2 linked regions of the Caenorhabditis elegans genome follow. The protein of the gene in region 1 interacts with the protein of each later gene in a biochemical or structural test. Each region holds a gene or a part of one and is shown on either strand. Other genes may lie near its edges. The genes, in order: ddx-19 and mpk-1.

Region 1 (7,457 bases):
GAGGACCTACAGTAGTACACCTTAAAGGTACACACTCGAAATTGTTCGGTCGCTGCGAGACCAGTCGCCATAAATTCGTAATGAGCCTATTTTCTAAATAGAAGAATTTCTGTATTTTTTTTAGCGATTTCGAAGAAATATTTCTATGGTTGTAACAATAGTACAGTCAAGATGTATGAGTCACATGAAAAAAACGGTGGAATTTTCGTTGCTAAAGCAAAAAAACGTAGTGGCTACTGGCACCGAATACAAAAATTAAATAAAAGGGTTCATTTTGGAAGAGTAATGAGTCAGTCTCGATGGACAACATTGTTTTATCAGTTGAAAAGGAGTGTAGATAAATCAATGGTCCCGTCCATTTTCTTCTGATAACAATTGAGTTTGCATTGTGGCCAGAAGTGACCTGTCATGAAGGAAGAAGGAAGAGAACAGGCCTCCCTCCTAACAAAGATGTGAACTTGCCATTGTTTATCTTCCATATCGACAAACAAACGGCAGCAACGAATTTGAATAATGCAGGAAACAATTAAAAGCGGGAAGACGAACAAAAAATGAATATGTAAACCCGGAACTCGGGCAAAAAAAGTTTATTTTGGAAATATTTATTCGGATTCAAATAACAAGATAAAGGCGAAAACGAAAACTCACAAACAATCAACTCTAATAGAATATCTAGAACCGTTTTTGTTTCTAAAGCCTTCTCCACACATTGTAACAAAAATGGAGAATTTTACGTACCAGAACTGAAATACAAAGGAGATGATGATGATGGTGAAGTGTTAAGTATCCGCTTGGTTAATAAAATAATGAGAATATAAAAAAAAATGGAAAAGAGTCAACAATGTCAAGGAAAGCAAAAATTCGGGGCAAACTGTATTTGATAAGTGAAAAAGTAGATTGGTATATGGGGGAGTGGGAAACACTGACCCGCAGTAAAACGTATGAAATGTTGTAGATTATGCCATTTCTATGGCTTCTAGCTCTACCAAATTCGATGGATCCATTCGAGCGATCTTCATCTCTGAAAATAATATTTTAGTCATTGCAAAAAAATGTATTACTCACGGAAATGATTTTCGAGCACATTAATCATGTTCATCGAGTCTTCTGAATCGATCAAATTAATGGCAATACCAGTCTTTCCAAATCTTCCAGTTCTTCCAATACGGTGGAGGTAAGTTTCACAATCAGGTTGAGTGAATCCATCCACCACCATCGGAGTTCCTTCATCGGTGTACTTGATCGGAAGATCGTAATTAATCACCACCGACACCTGCGCTACATCAATTCCACGAGCAAACACGTTCGTCGTGATCAGAACTTTGAAGTCGCCGCGCTTGAAATGGATGATCGTATCAGCTCTCTCGACAACAGTCATATCTCCATGTAAAACATCAACTTGATGTCCTCTTGCTCTCATGTTCTCATACAACCACATAACACTAGCCTTCGTGTGACAGAAAATGACGGATGAGGCGACAGCGAGTCCACTGTAAAGGTTGACGATAGCCTGTAAATTGCATTGGTTTATAGATAAGCATTTTTATAAAACTGAAATCTAACCGCATATTTCGAATCTCTACAGGCGCATTGAACGTAGAACTGCTTAATGTTCGGCAATGCTTGTTCTTCACGTTTCAACCTGAAAGTTTGTTTTGGTTTTGGATTTACGAGGAAGAGGACACAATGGTGCTTCAAGAGCGGACCACCCACTGAGTTGTTACAATATTAATGAAGACACGAGTAAATAAACCGTTCCAAGCTTACATTACGATTTGGAAAGGGAGTGCATCTGTGAAACTTACATTACTACAATTGCATTCTTGATGATTTTTGTTGCGAAATTGATCACTGGTTCGTCGTACGTGGCTGAGAACAACATTGATTGGACAGAATCTGAAGCATCTTCGACCATACTGAAAAAAAGACAAGTAAATTATTATGTTGGTAAACAGTATTTCATACTTATAGATTGTAGTTGAGATATCAGTGAATCCTTGATGATAAATCATCACATCAGCTTCGTCAAGTACCAAGCAACGGATCTTGCTCGGATCAATGCACTTGTACTTTTGAAGGTAGTCGCGAGTCTTAAATGAAATAGTTATTCATTAGTTATTTCATAAACTAGTCAACTCACGATCCCTGGAGTTCCAATAACAATTTGTTCAGTAAGCTTTCGTCCTCTCATTGCAGCCATATTTCCTCCTTTGATCGCGTAGTGAATTTTCAAATTATCAATGAATTTTCCCATCTTCTCAACAACTTCTCCGATCTGCTTGGCCAATTCAAGAGTCGGTGCCAAACAAATGCACTGGGGGCACATCAGATTGACATCAATCCTGCAGAGCATGGTGAGCACAAATGCAGCAGTTTTTCCGGTACCGGATTGGGCTTGAGCAATAAGGTTGGATGGTCTGAAAAATAACGATTATAATAAAACTTTGAGGATATTTTAGTTAGCATCAAAACTGTCGCTTTTTGGATAATTTATTTTTAAACTAAAATCCAAAATTGTTGGCCGACACCATTGGTTTTCCCCCGTAAAATAAATGTATGAAAGAACTTACGGCTCCATAAGAAGAAGTGGTAAAGCTGTTTCTTGAATTCTAGTTGGGAACTGGAAATTCATCGTGTCAAGAGCCTTGAGTACTTCGGGTTTTAAACGAAGTTCACGGAAGGATGAGATTGAGTACAAAGGAGATTTTGGGTCTTGTCTTTGCACGTCAACGACAACGTCTTTCATCATCTTCACCTCCTTTTGAATGAACTTATTTAGCAAAGCAATATCTGCTGGAACTGGAACTTGTTCATGAGCTTCTTCTGTTGCCGGTTTCGTGAACTTGTACTTCGAATCCTAAAATAAAAATAGATTTCGATCGCTTACAATGAAATAAATTACCGGTTTCACAAATTGTTGTGCAGCTTGGTGTCCACCGTACTGAGGTGGTGTATCTCTTGGTCGTGGAACAAAAGCTGGATTTTGTTGTCCTCTTCCACGTCCCATAGCTGAAAATAAACAATGAGACAGAAAACGTGAAATGAATATTCAATAAATACATTGTCCTTGACCGGGGGCGCCGAAATCCATTTGCCCTCCGCCTGATCCACGTCCTCCTCTACAAATAAATCATAATTATTGTTATCGAGGGGGTCTGCTATCACTACCTGTACGCTCCTTGGAATCCTCCTCTCATTGGTTGTGATTGTCCTGGCATGATTGGAACTAGAAAAATATGAATTAATTAATTTATTTAGGAAAACGGGAGAATTGGTTGTGGGGTCAAGCAATGATGTGCAAAATTAGACATGCGTGCAATAAAATCCACAAAACTAAGCATTACCTTTTTTGAAACCAAAATTGATAAATTGATAACTGTTAAAGAGAACGTGAAATTTCGTGGATTTTAATTACATCGTGTTTAGGTGAAACACAAAGGGTAGGTTAATATCAAGCAAACAAGCAAGTCTTACACCAAAAATCTGGCAAAAATATTATTATCATTTGATAACCCGGGATTTCCTGGAATTTGGTATCTATAAAATATTCTTATACCCAAAAACATACCACTCGAGTTCTTCATTTCATTTTCCTTGAACTCTGGTTTGGTAGAGCTTGAATTTCCGCCAAATGGATTCTTTTGAGCAGGTTCGGATTTTGAATTGAAATTCGCTCCATATGGTCTGACGGAGCTCGATGTTTCTTGTTCAGTATTCGGATTTCGTGTTTCTACGAAAGGCAGACGCCCAGACTCATTACCAACTGAGGTATTGACCGTTGGAGCAGTTGATCTACCGAAACCTCCACCGACGACATGCTTATTGGCAGGAAGTTCAGACGATGAAGCAGCAAAAGATGGTTTCGATCCGAAAGCACCGCCTGAGGTATTTGATGGGTTTCTTAAGATTTCTGGTGGTGATAGGCTTTCAACATCTGGAACTTTTGTGGACTTGTTTCCGAAAGATCCTCCCATCGAAGAACTTCCTGTGACGGATGTTGAAGCTCCGAAGGCACCACCAAATGACGGCTTCGATGAGAAACTAGACGGTTGGTTTCCAAAACTTCCTCCAGCTGAAGTAGAAGTTGGTTTTGCTGCAAAACAGCTTGAAGATGAAGAAAGTGCAGAAGAATTGCTAGAGATATTCTCGTTTGATGGTTTCGATCCAAAGCTAGCCACAGTTCTCGATTGGGATGCTGATGCCGAAGAGCTGTTGAAAGACCCTCCAGCCGAAGCGGAAGACTTGATTCCAAAACTTTCTTCTGAACGAATAGATGCTACAACTGTAGAGGAACCAAAACTTCCTCCGGTTGTCGCTGGTGACTTCATAGATGAACCAAATCCGCCACCAACCGATTTCATTACCGGAACTTTAGGCATATCGTTGCTGACAATATTCGGAGATTTCACTCCAAATCCTCCACCAACAGACGGAGCAACGCTCGATGATTGTGTTTTTGCACCGAATGCTCCACCTTGAGAGATTGATGCTCCAAAACGTCCTCCAGTGGATGTCTTTGGTGTAGAATCTTCAAGATTCGTAGAAGTTTGCGGAATCGATCCACTCAGCGTTCTCGGGGCTAAAACTCCAAAACGTCCTCCTTCATGGTTATTCTTAATTATTGCTGGTGGACAAGGTGCCATGCTGCGGTTAGTGCCAAAGCCTCCACCACGTTTACATGCAGGTTTTTCTTTGTGAATTCCAACAGAAATTATATTACCTCCTCCAATGAGTTCTTCTGCTGAACCAAGTGGTGCACCACGGCCATCCACCCCTGCTTGGCCTCCGAATGAACCTAAAATTGCGATAGGGAAGTTAATAGGAACAAAAGGATAAATGGACACAGTACAAGCATAACAGATATAAACACTTACCACCAACACGGGTTCCCGAAGTTGATCCGAATGAAGTTTGAGGTGGTGGAGCATTACTGGCTTTTGGTCCGCCGAACATGCCTCCTCGGCTAATTCCCCATCCATTTGATCCTGTAAAAATAACTGTTAGGAAAGAAGTTTCTCCGATGAATCTTACCTTTATTCTCTTCATTTTGATCCATTTCCGAGCCTGATTGCACCTTTTCGGTCTGAAAGAAATTAATATATTCCGTTCCGCTGAAAAAATGCACTCGGTTTCCACGCACACATACAGGGAAGAAGCATGAAAATTGTGCGAGGTAGAAGCAAAAAGCAATTGTACAGTGCAAGAGAAAAGAGCCGAAACTCTCGGAACACGGACGGACAAACAGACAAACAATCACGAACACACATAGACATTAACAAATCCGACCACCTTTTCTGGCACTTCAAGCCCTTCCGATCGACACTGCTCGTCGAATGCAATACCCCAATCAGCCATTTTCGATCTGTTATGAGAACTACGATAATTCATTGTTAGTATTCAGGACAAATTAAAGATCGGAACACGAAATTGAAAAGAAAACATGTTGAGGCGAAATTTGGGTCGACACATGAACCCGAGAAGGGAGAGATTGCAGAAAGAAGATAGTTCTTTGGTTCATCGACAGGGTAGGAAATAGTTATTCTAGAAGTGTTTTCTCTATTTTGCCATTGATAATGCATGTAAACACATTGTTTGGTCAGGGAAGTACAAAATCTATCTTCTTTTTAGGGCATTTTTCCACAAAATATATGAAATTTAACTTTAAAATGTATTTTAAACATTTGAAGTTATAAAAATGACGCACACATGAAAGATAAATAGAATAAACAAACAAAAAATTAGGATCGACGCCAATAAAAACATCTGAAATTGAGATGAGCAATTTCGAAAATGGGTACGGTTGACAGTACACCGTACACAGTAATGCACACAATGCACCAGATCATACGACAAACATATCTTAATATTTAAATTTAGGATTTTTAACTTGCAAGTATCATGATATTCTTGCTAATTGTTATTTTTTAAAGAAAATGATCACTCACCTGTCTACTGGAATGGCTTTGAACAACGCAAAAACACCGCATGACCATCAAAAAGAGTTACGCGACAAAACTTCAGAGATAATTTACCTTTCAACGAAATTAAATCACGCCAAAGAAACATGTGTGAATCTGGATAATGAACGTCAGAAGTTTCGAGAAGTTAGCCGAAAAATCAAAGAGGTTTGTCTGTAAAACAATAATGCAAACTGAATAACTTATTTTCAGAAGGATATTGATCCAGTTTGGATATACAATGGAACGTGCTTCCTTCAAACAAGCCAAGCAAATAGTTTGAATATTTTGGAGAAAGATACGAAAACTGTCGAAGAAGTTCGTGGACAGATTCAAGAAGTTATCAAGGTAAAATAAAAATATTAATTCGATAATTGAATTGTTTTTTTACAGAAAGACATGGACACATTTCTCAAACTACACAAGAAGCGAAATCTAGAAGAACGTGGTTTCGGTTTAAAGCCATTGCTCAAAGACGGAAAATTAACTGATTAAATTATGAAATATCTGAATACGGGTCAATGAATTGATATTAAAATACTTAAATTTGTATTGTTATCCTGTTCTTGTATATCCGAGTTTAATTTCTCGTCTCTTTATTTGAACTATTCGCGACTTTTTAAATCTTGTTAAATATTATTTTTAGATGTCCAGAGACGTCAAAGAATTTCTATATGCTTGGTTAGGAAAGAATAAGTATGGAAATCCGACGTACGATACAAAAAGTGAAACCAGGAGTGGTAGGCAGAGATTCAAATGCGAACTTCGGATCACAGGATTTGGCTACACTGCTTTCGGAAATTCCACAAACAAAAAGGTTCGTGCTACTTGGGAAATCAGTTTTTATCAAAAGTTTTCAGGATGCTGCTACCAATGCTGCTCAAGATTTCTGCCAATACCTAGTCAGAGAAGGAAAAATGCAACAGAGTGATATTCCGACTCTAACGTCTTCGAGTCTTGAAGCTTCTTCCACGTGGCAAGATTCTGAAACTGCTACAATGTTTTGTGGTGGAGAAGATGGCAACTCGTTCCAAGAGTCACAGCAACCAATTCCACAAAAAAGATTTCCTTGGAGTAACAATGCATATCAACGTAACGAGGGCACACATGAACAATATATTACACAGAAAGCAGAAGAAATTGCTGCATCGGAAACTGTTGATCTAAAATCAGAAATTCATGGAGGATGGACGATGGAGAATTCAAAGAAAGCGCTGAATGAGTTTCTTCAAAAAATGAGACTTCCACAGGTTAACTATGGAACCAAAATTCGAGAATCAAACACCGTTAAGTAAGTTTTTCATATTAGAAGAATTACTTCATTTTTTTCATACCAAAATATTTACAGAACAATGGAGACGACTGCCCAAATCTTTGTTCCTCAAATCAACAAAAGTGCGTTCTTTTATCGTCTTTTATCCAAATAAAAAATGAAAATGTTTACAGATCTCGTTGGAAAAGGTACTGGATCTAACAAGAAAGTTTCTGAAGCGGCGTGTG
Region 2 (4,913 bases), on another chromosome or scaffold:
ATACAAAAGTATCAAAAATTCAAAACGACTGTTACCACCAAAACTGAAAAAAAACGATAAAAACCATGAAGTGCAACAACCGCCTTCATTTCTTCTTCTCCAAACGAAACATGAACAAACAGTAGCCAAATGGTTGGTTTTGTTAGGATTTCAGAGTGAGTGCCAGTAGACTTCCCTTGGCAAACAATGCGTGTGTTCTATTCTCAGCCATCTCCGGGGGGCAAACAGGGGGCGATTTTCGGATGAGACATCAAGGAGAAGCATCAACTAATGTAGACGTTGTGGTGCAAATACACTTAGAAGCCCTTTTTGGAGTAGAGAAAAAGGAAAAAAAGAAGAAAAGACGAGTTTCTCCATTTTTTGAGTTAAATGAGGCGAAGAGGAAGGGAAAAAAGTATTCAAATGACTGGATCTGCACCGATGAGCACAACACGTTAATGAAGTTCGAATAACGAATTAAAGGATATAGGATGCATGTCTTTTTAGTTCGACATAGAAAAAAGGAGTATACTTTTCTATTTTCCTTTTTGCAGTTGCGAACTATCATTTTTTGAGAGTAAATAAAATCTCGCGTCACTTTTTTCTTTTGCAAAATCTGAGATTCTCGCCCAAATCACAAATCCAGAGATTAAGAAAACGCGGAATTTTCGATGAAATGGAAAAGAGAAAAAAAAATCTCTCACAAATGAATTATTAGAGTTTGGAAAATTAATCGTTTTTATGTTACGATGAGATTTAATGCGGAATATGGAGCTAGCAAGTTCAATTCTGAAAGTCGCAAAGTAGAAAAGAACCTGCCGAAATTTTTTTGAAATCCATATAAAATTTTAATGAAAATCGATCTTTTGAACGAGCTCTTCTTGTCGTCCGCATTTCCATCTTAAATCTCAAATTTCGAAGCGTGTAATTCTACGCTTTTCTCTTCTTTCTAACGTCTTCAATTTCTTCATCTCCTCCTACTCATCATCTTCATCGACAAATAAACCAACGCGTACAATTACGGTTTTACGATTCCGAGGAGAAGAATGATGAGTGTTGCTCTTCTTTCATATCAAATTGGTTTTTTCTTCCATGCAGCTCTCCACGCAACAATAAAAACCGAACGAAAATGAGAGGAAATCCGACACAAAACACACCCAATTCCGAGGAAAATTGAAACATATGTGTTGTCGAATGAGTAAGAATTTTGAAAGAAGATTCAATTCGAGAAATAATGTCGGGAAATTCAGTTTGTCTCAGTTGCAAAAACTTCCGGGATATTGGAAACGTTCCGAGTGAGAATTTGGCCAATTGAACATATGAGTTTTATAATGTTCAATGCCTTTTTCAACTTATTTCCATGGTTTTTCAGATGTAAAATTCCAGATTTTCAGATTTCTGGTTCAGAATTGAATATCAGATTCTCAAATTTAAGGAAAAATTGGTAGTCGGAATTTTTGTTTTCATTTCCTGTTGAGTTCGCATTCATTCTATATAGAAGAAACTATAGATTCATCATGACAAAAAATGGTATTCAACAATTGTAACAGATGTATGAAGTTATTAGATAAAAAACTAATTAGTTTCTGAAAACTACTACTGAACACTTTAACTCCGGAAAAATTCAATTTCGATACTGTGAAACTACAATGAATCAATCTACATTCATTTTGAGAAACATAAATAATACACAAAGTACCTCACACCTCTGTCAGTCATTCACCCGGGTACACAACGGGATTTCAAAATAATAGTTTGTTGATGGAAAGCGGGTAGAAGATAGATCAACATCAATTATTAGTGTAAATCCTCGGGGTTCCCAAAGGAATACGTGTCAAAGTACAGTAAACTGTAGCTCAAGTCCGGAAAAAAGGAAAAATCTGGGTCATCTAGGCCAAACGCACGAAGAAAACTTCCGGAAGATGGATTCTTGTATTTGAACACTCCTTTTCGATTTTTCCTTGTTCGTTTAAAAGTTCTGATTTTCGGTTTGAAAAAAAAACATTGTTTTTCTCTCCAATCTCCGCTTGCACGCTGGAATGTCAATCAGACGACCAATTCAATTAATTCTATTAGATTTTAGATGTCTTAACTGGAAACTTTAGAAGAATGCAAATATATTCAATTTGGGGGACACTCAGATTACGGTAATTTGTAGTGGAACCTCGAAAATACAACTATTACCCAGTAGCGAAATTTTAGGATTTTTACGCCAAAAAATACGGTACCCAGTTTCGATTTTTTAAATAGTTTTTCTCATAATTAAAAAAAAACCTTTTTTTTAATTTGAGGTTAAAAAAAATTTTATCGAAAAATTTTGATGAAAATTACACAGCAAAGTTTAAAATTACAGTACTCTTTAAAGGCGCACACTTATTTGCATTTACCAAAAAATGTGTCGTTTCGAGACCGGGTATCGCATTTTGGGATACATACGAAATGTTCAAGTTGTGAACAGTTTTTTTCTACTAGCAGAAATTCAAATTTCGTTGAAAAACTACGATTCTAAGAGGTGTTCCGGTATAAACTAAATACGTCAATGAAGTGTCAATCTGCAAAAATCATCAAACCTTCAAGCTTAAAACACAAAGCACAATTTCTGGTTTAAAATTTGAATTTTTTCATTCAAATCAACCATTTTCATTGAGCTATTCAAACTTTCACACTTCCGTTTCTCTCTTTTCCAATTCAAAAACTACCAATCAACGTCACATCACTAATCTTTTCTTCCAGCACACACACACAGTACTCTGTCACGGTAGTCTTAATAGGCTAATAAAAGTACAAAGTTAGTGGTTTTGATGCAATACGCAACTTATTTTCCCGATAATGGGAGCACAATGGGCAAATCAACCCGATTACGTGCTATGTTCTGATTATTTGAACATTGTGCACTTTTTTGAAAACGTTTTGTGAATTTTGCAATTAAATTGAATGACTTAATTTTTTAATGTATTTTTACTTTCTAATTTAAATTCAATGTAGAAATTCAATGCAAAAATTTCAAATTTTCCAACTGACCAAAGAGCATTTTAATATTTTTCAGCTTCTAAAAATGCTTGTTTTTGTTTATTTTTCTCCAACTTTTTTTTTCATATTTTCTTATCATTCGTACCTTTCTATGTCCTGAACGAGTGTACTGCCATTTCTGTTGTCTGACGTGGTTGGTTGCTCCATTCGGTATGTTGCTCGAATTACGGTATGCCAATGATCCCGGAGCAGATTGTTGTTGTGTCGCTTGTGGATGCCCGTTCGATGGTGGTTTAGCATTTCTCGTTGTCGGCTGTGCGCACAAATTGTTAGGTATCCACGTTGGCATCATGTTTCGTGGTTCTGAAATTAAAGAATTATTAGTTTTATGAAGAAGAAGTTCTGGCAACGGATAAAAATATTTGAGAGTGTGAAATATTTCGTCGGAAAAGAAATTTCTGATATTGCAAAGGAACTTTTTTTGAAAATTCCCTCAATTTACCAAATTTAACTGTTAAAAAAAACTATAGATTTCTTTTTCTGAATTTTTAATGATTTTTTTCAATTTTGCAAAAATAAAAGAAACGGCTCCATGATTTTTTTTTTGATTTTTTTGTGAAGAAAACTTGACGACCTGAAATAAAATTTCGGAAACTTTAAAATCAGTTCAAAATTCGATTATTTAACTATTATTTCATTTTTTGTTTAAAAATGTATGAAAAGTGAAATTATAAAAATCCATGAATTTTGCCAGAAAGTGCAAAAATTCAAATTCCCTTCCGCCGATTTTGTATTTATATTTCAGCGAAATTGAATAAATCATTGAAAAATTAAACACTGTTTTTTTTTACAGATATATTCGGGACATAAGGCAAATTTTCGTATTTTCTAGCTCAATGGATACACTAAATAAAGGAAAAAAAATCGTATAGAACTTTTCCCGCAGTAAAAGTAAAACTGGCCAACTATGTAAAAACAGAAAATGCAGAAAATCTATTCGAAAGTTGTTTTTATGAATAAAAAGTCTATGAGTTTCTCCTCGTCAATTAATTAGCTTCGTCAGAAAATGCATAATATTGTTCCTGTTTTGAAGCCATTTATCTTTTGTATGGTTTCCCAAATCACTATGTTGAAGTAAAAAAGAGCAAAAATCATTTATGATGTCAGAGAAAGCTTTTTTCCGAACTTTAGAGACTCTAACTTGCAGTTTTTCAAAAAAAAAACTCCGAGTTTACTAGCAATTTCACTCCAAATTCTGCCTATTTTCCCTGTATTTTTTCATAACTCTCTCACCGCAGACCGATAATACAATCACCATTGTACACACACAACACTGTCTCATTCTTTTTGACCGCCCACCCAAAATGTTTAATATTTGTACGAGCGTTCTTCTTCATAATGCTGACTCATTTCATTTTCAACACTATTTTTCAGCTTTTTCTAACGAAATAATGACGGATTATGATGACTATGAAGACCGATCTGGTGTGGTAGAAGAAGAACTATTGGATTTTGATAGAGTACGTCTAGAATCAAATTTGGCAACAAATTTTCAAAATATTCAGGCAATGCTGGACTTTCAAGCTATGTTTCCCAGTCTAAGCAATTCACATATTGAATATGTTCTACGGAAATATGATGGAGATGTTTCAGCCACTATTAATGAGCTACTTTATGATAACGTATGTTAATTTTTTTGTTTATAGAAATTATTGCTTTACTACACGAGAAAGCACTGTCAGCGAGAATATTGTATCTCAATTGTTCAAATTTCGATCGATAAATTCCAAAAATAATTTCAGACGCCAACTACAACGACTTCTGAATCTATTCCACATGGAGGAGACTTAACAAAATTAAGGCAGCGAAGGCATGAAATAAACGAAAAACTGAGAGAAAATCAAAAATTTTTGGATACGGTTACAGATGTGGAAATTGCGAGGTAGAAAATAAAATTATTTATA

What was found.
Region 2: of the proteins of ddx-19 (region 1) and mpk-1, one has a biochemical effect on the other in vitro, tested with the Caenorhabditis elegans proteins (one study listed by BioGRID).

The regions. Positions count from the first base shown.
Region 1 is NC_003280.10:8,882,806-8,890,262, reverse strand, and holds ddx-19 (RNA helicase), read right to left. Parts: upstream 5,365-7,457; 5' UTR 5,356-5,364; coding exon 5,290-5,355; intron 5,084-5,289; coding exon 5,032-5,083; intron 4,986-5,031; coding exon 4,875-4,985; intron 4,796-4,874; coding exon 3,569-4,795; intron 3,227-3,568; coding exon 3,169-3,226; intron 3,120-3,168; coding exon 3,061-3,119; intron 3,010-3,060; coding exon 2,903-3,009; intron 2,858-2,902; coding exon 2,571-2,857; intron 2,418-2,570; coding exon 2,141-2,417; intron 2,091-2,140; coding exon 1,966-2,090; intron 1,917-1,965; coding exon 1,806-1,916; intron 1,643-1,805; coding exon 1,564-1,642; intron 1,511-1,563; coding exon 1,066-1,510; intron 1,022-1,065; coding exon 957-1,021; 3' UTR 563-956; downstream 1-562. Other genes in the region: T07D4.5 (P53 and DNA damage-regulated protein 1), read left to right, coding at 5,934-6,125, 6,171-6,305, 6,351-6,452; rha-1 (ATP-dependent RNA helicase A), read left to right, coding at 6,604-6,774, 6,818-7,248, 7,306-7,352, 7,404-7,457.
Region 2 is NC_003281.10:4,224,797-4,229,709, forward strand, and holds the start of mpk-1 (Mitogen-activated protein kinase mpk-1), read right to left. Parts: upstream 3,299-4,913; coding exon 3,095-3,298; intron 1-3,094. Other genes in the region: F43C1.5 (uncharacterized protein), read left to right, coding at 4,401-4,469, 4,515-4,631, 4,752-4,891. UniProt on the Caenorhabditis elegans protein: Functions in let-60 Ras signaling pathway; acts downstream of lin-45 raf kinase, but before the lin-1 gene product in controlling vulval cell differentiation. Plays a negative role in proximal germline proliferation in the mitotic zone.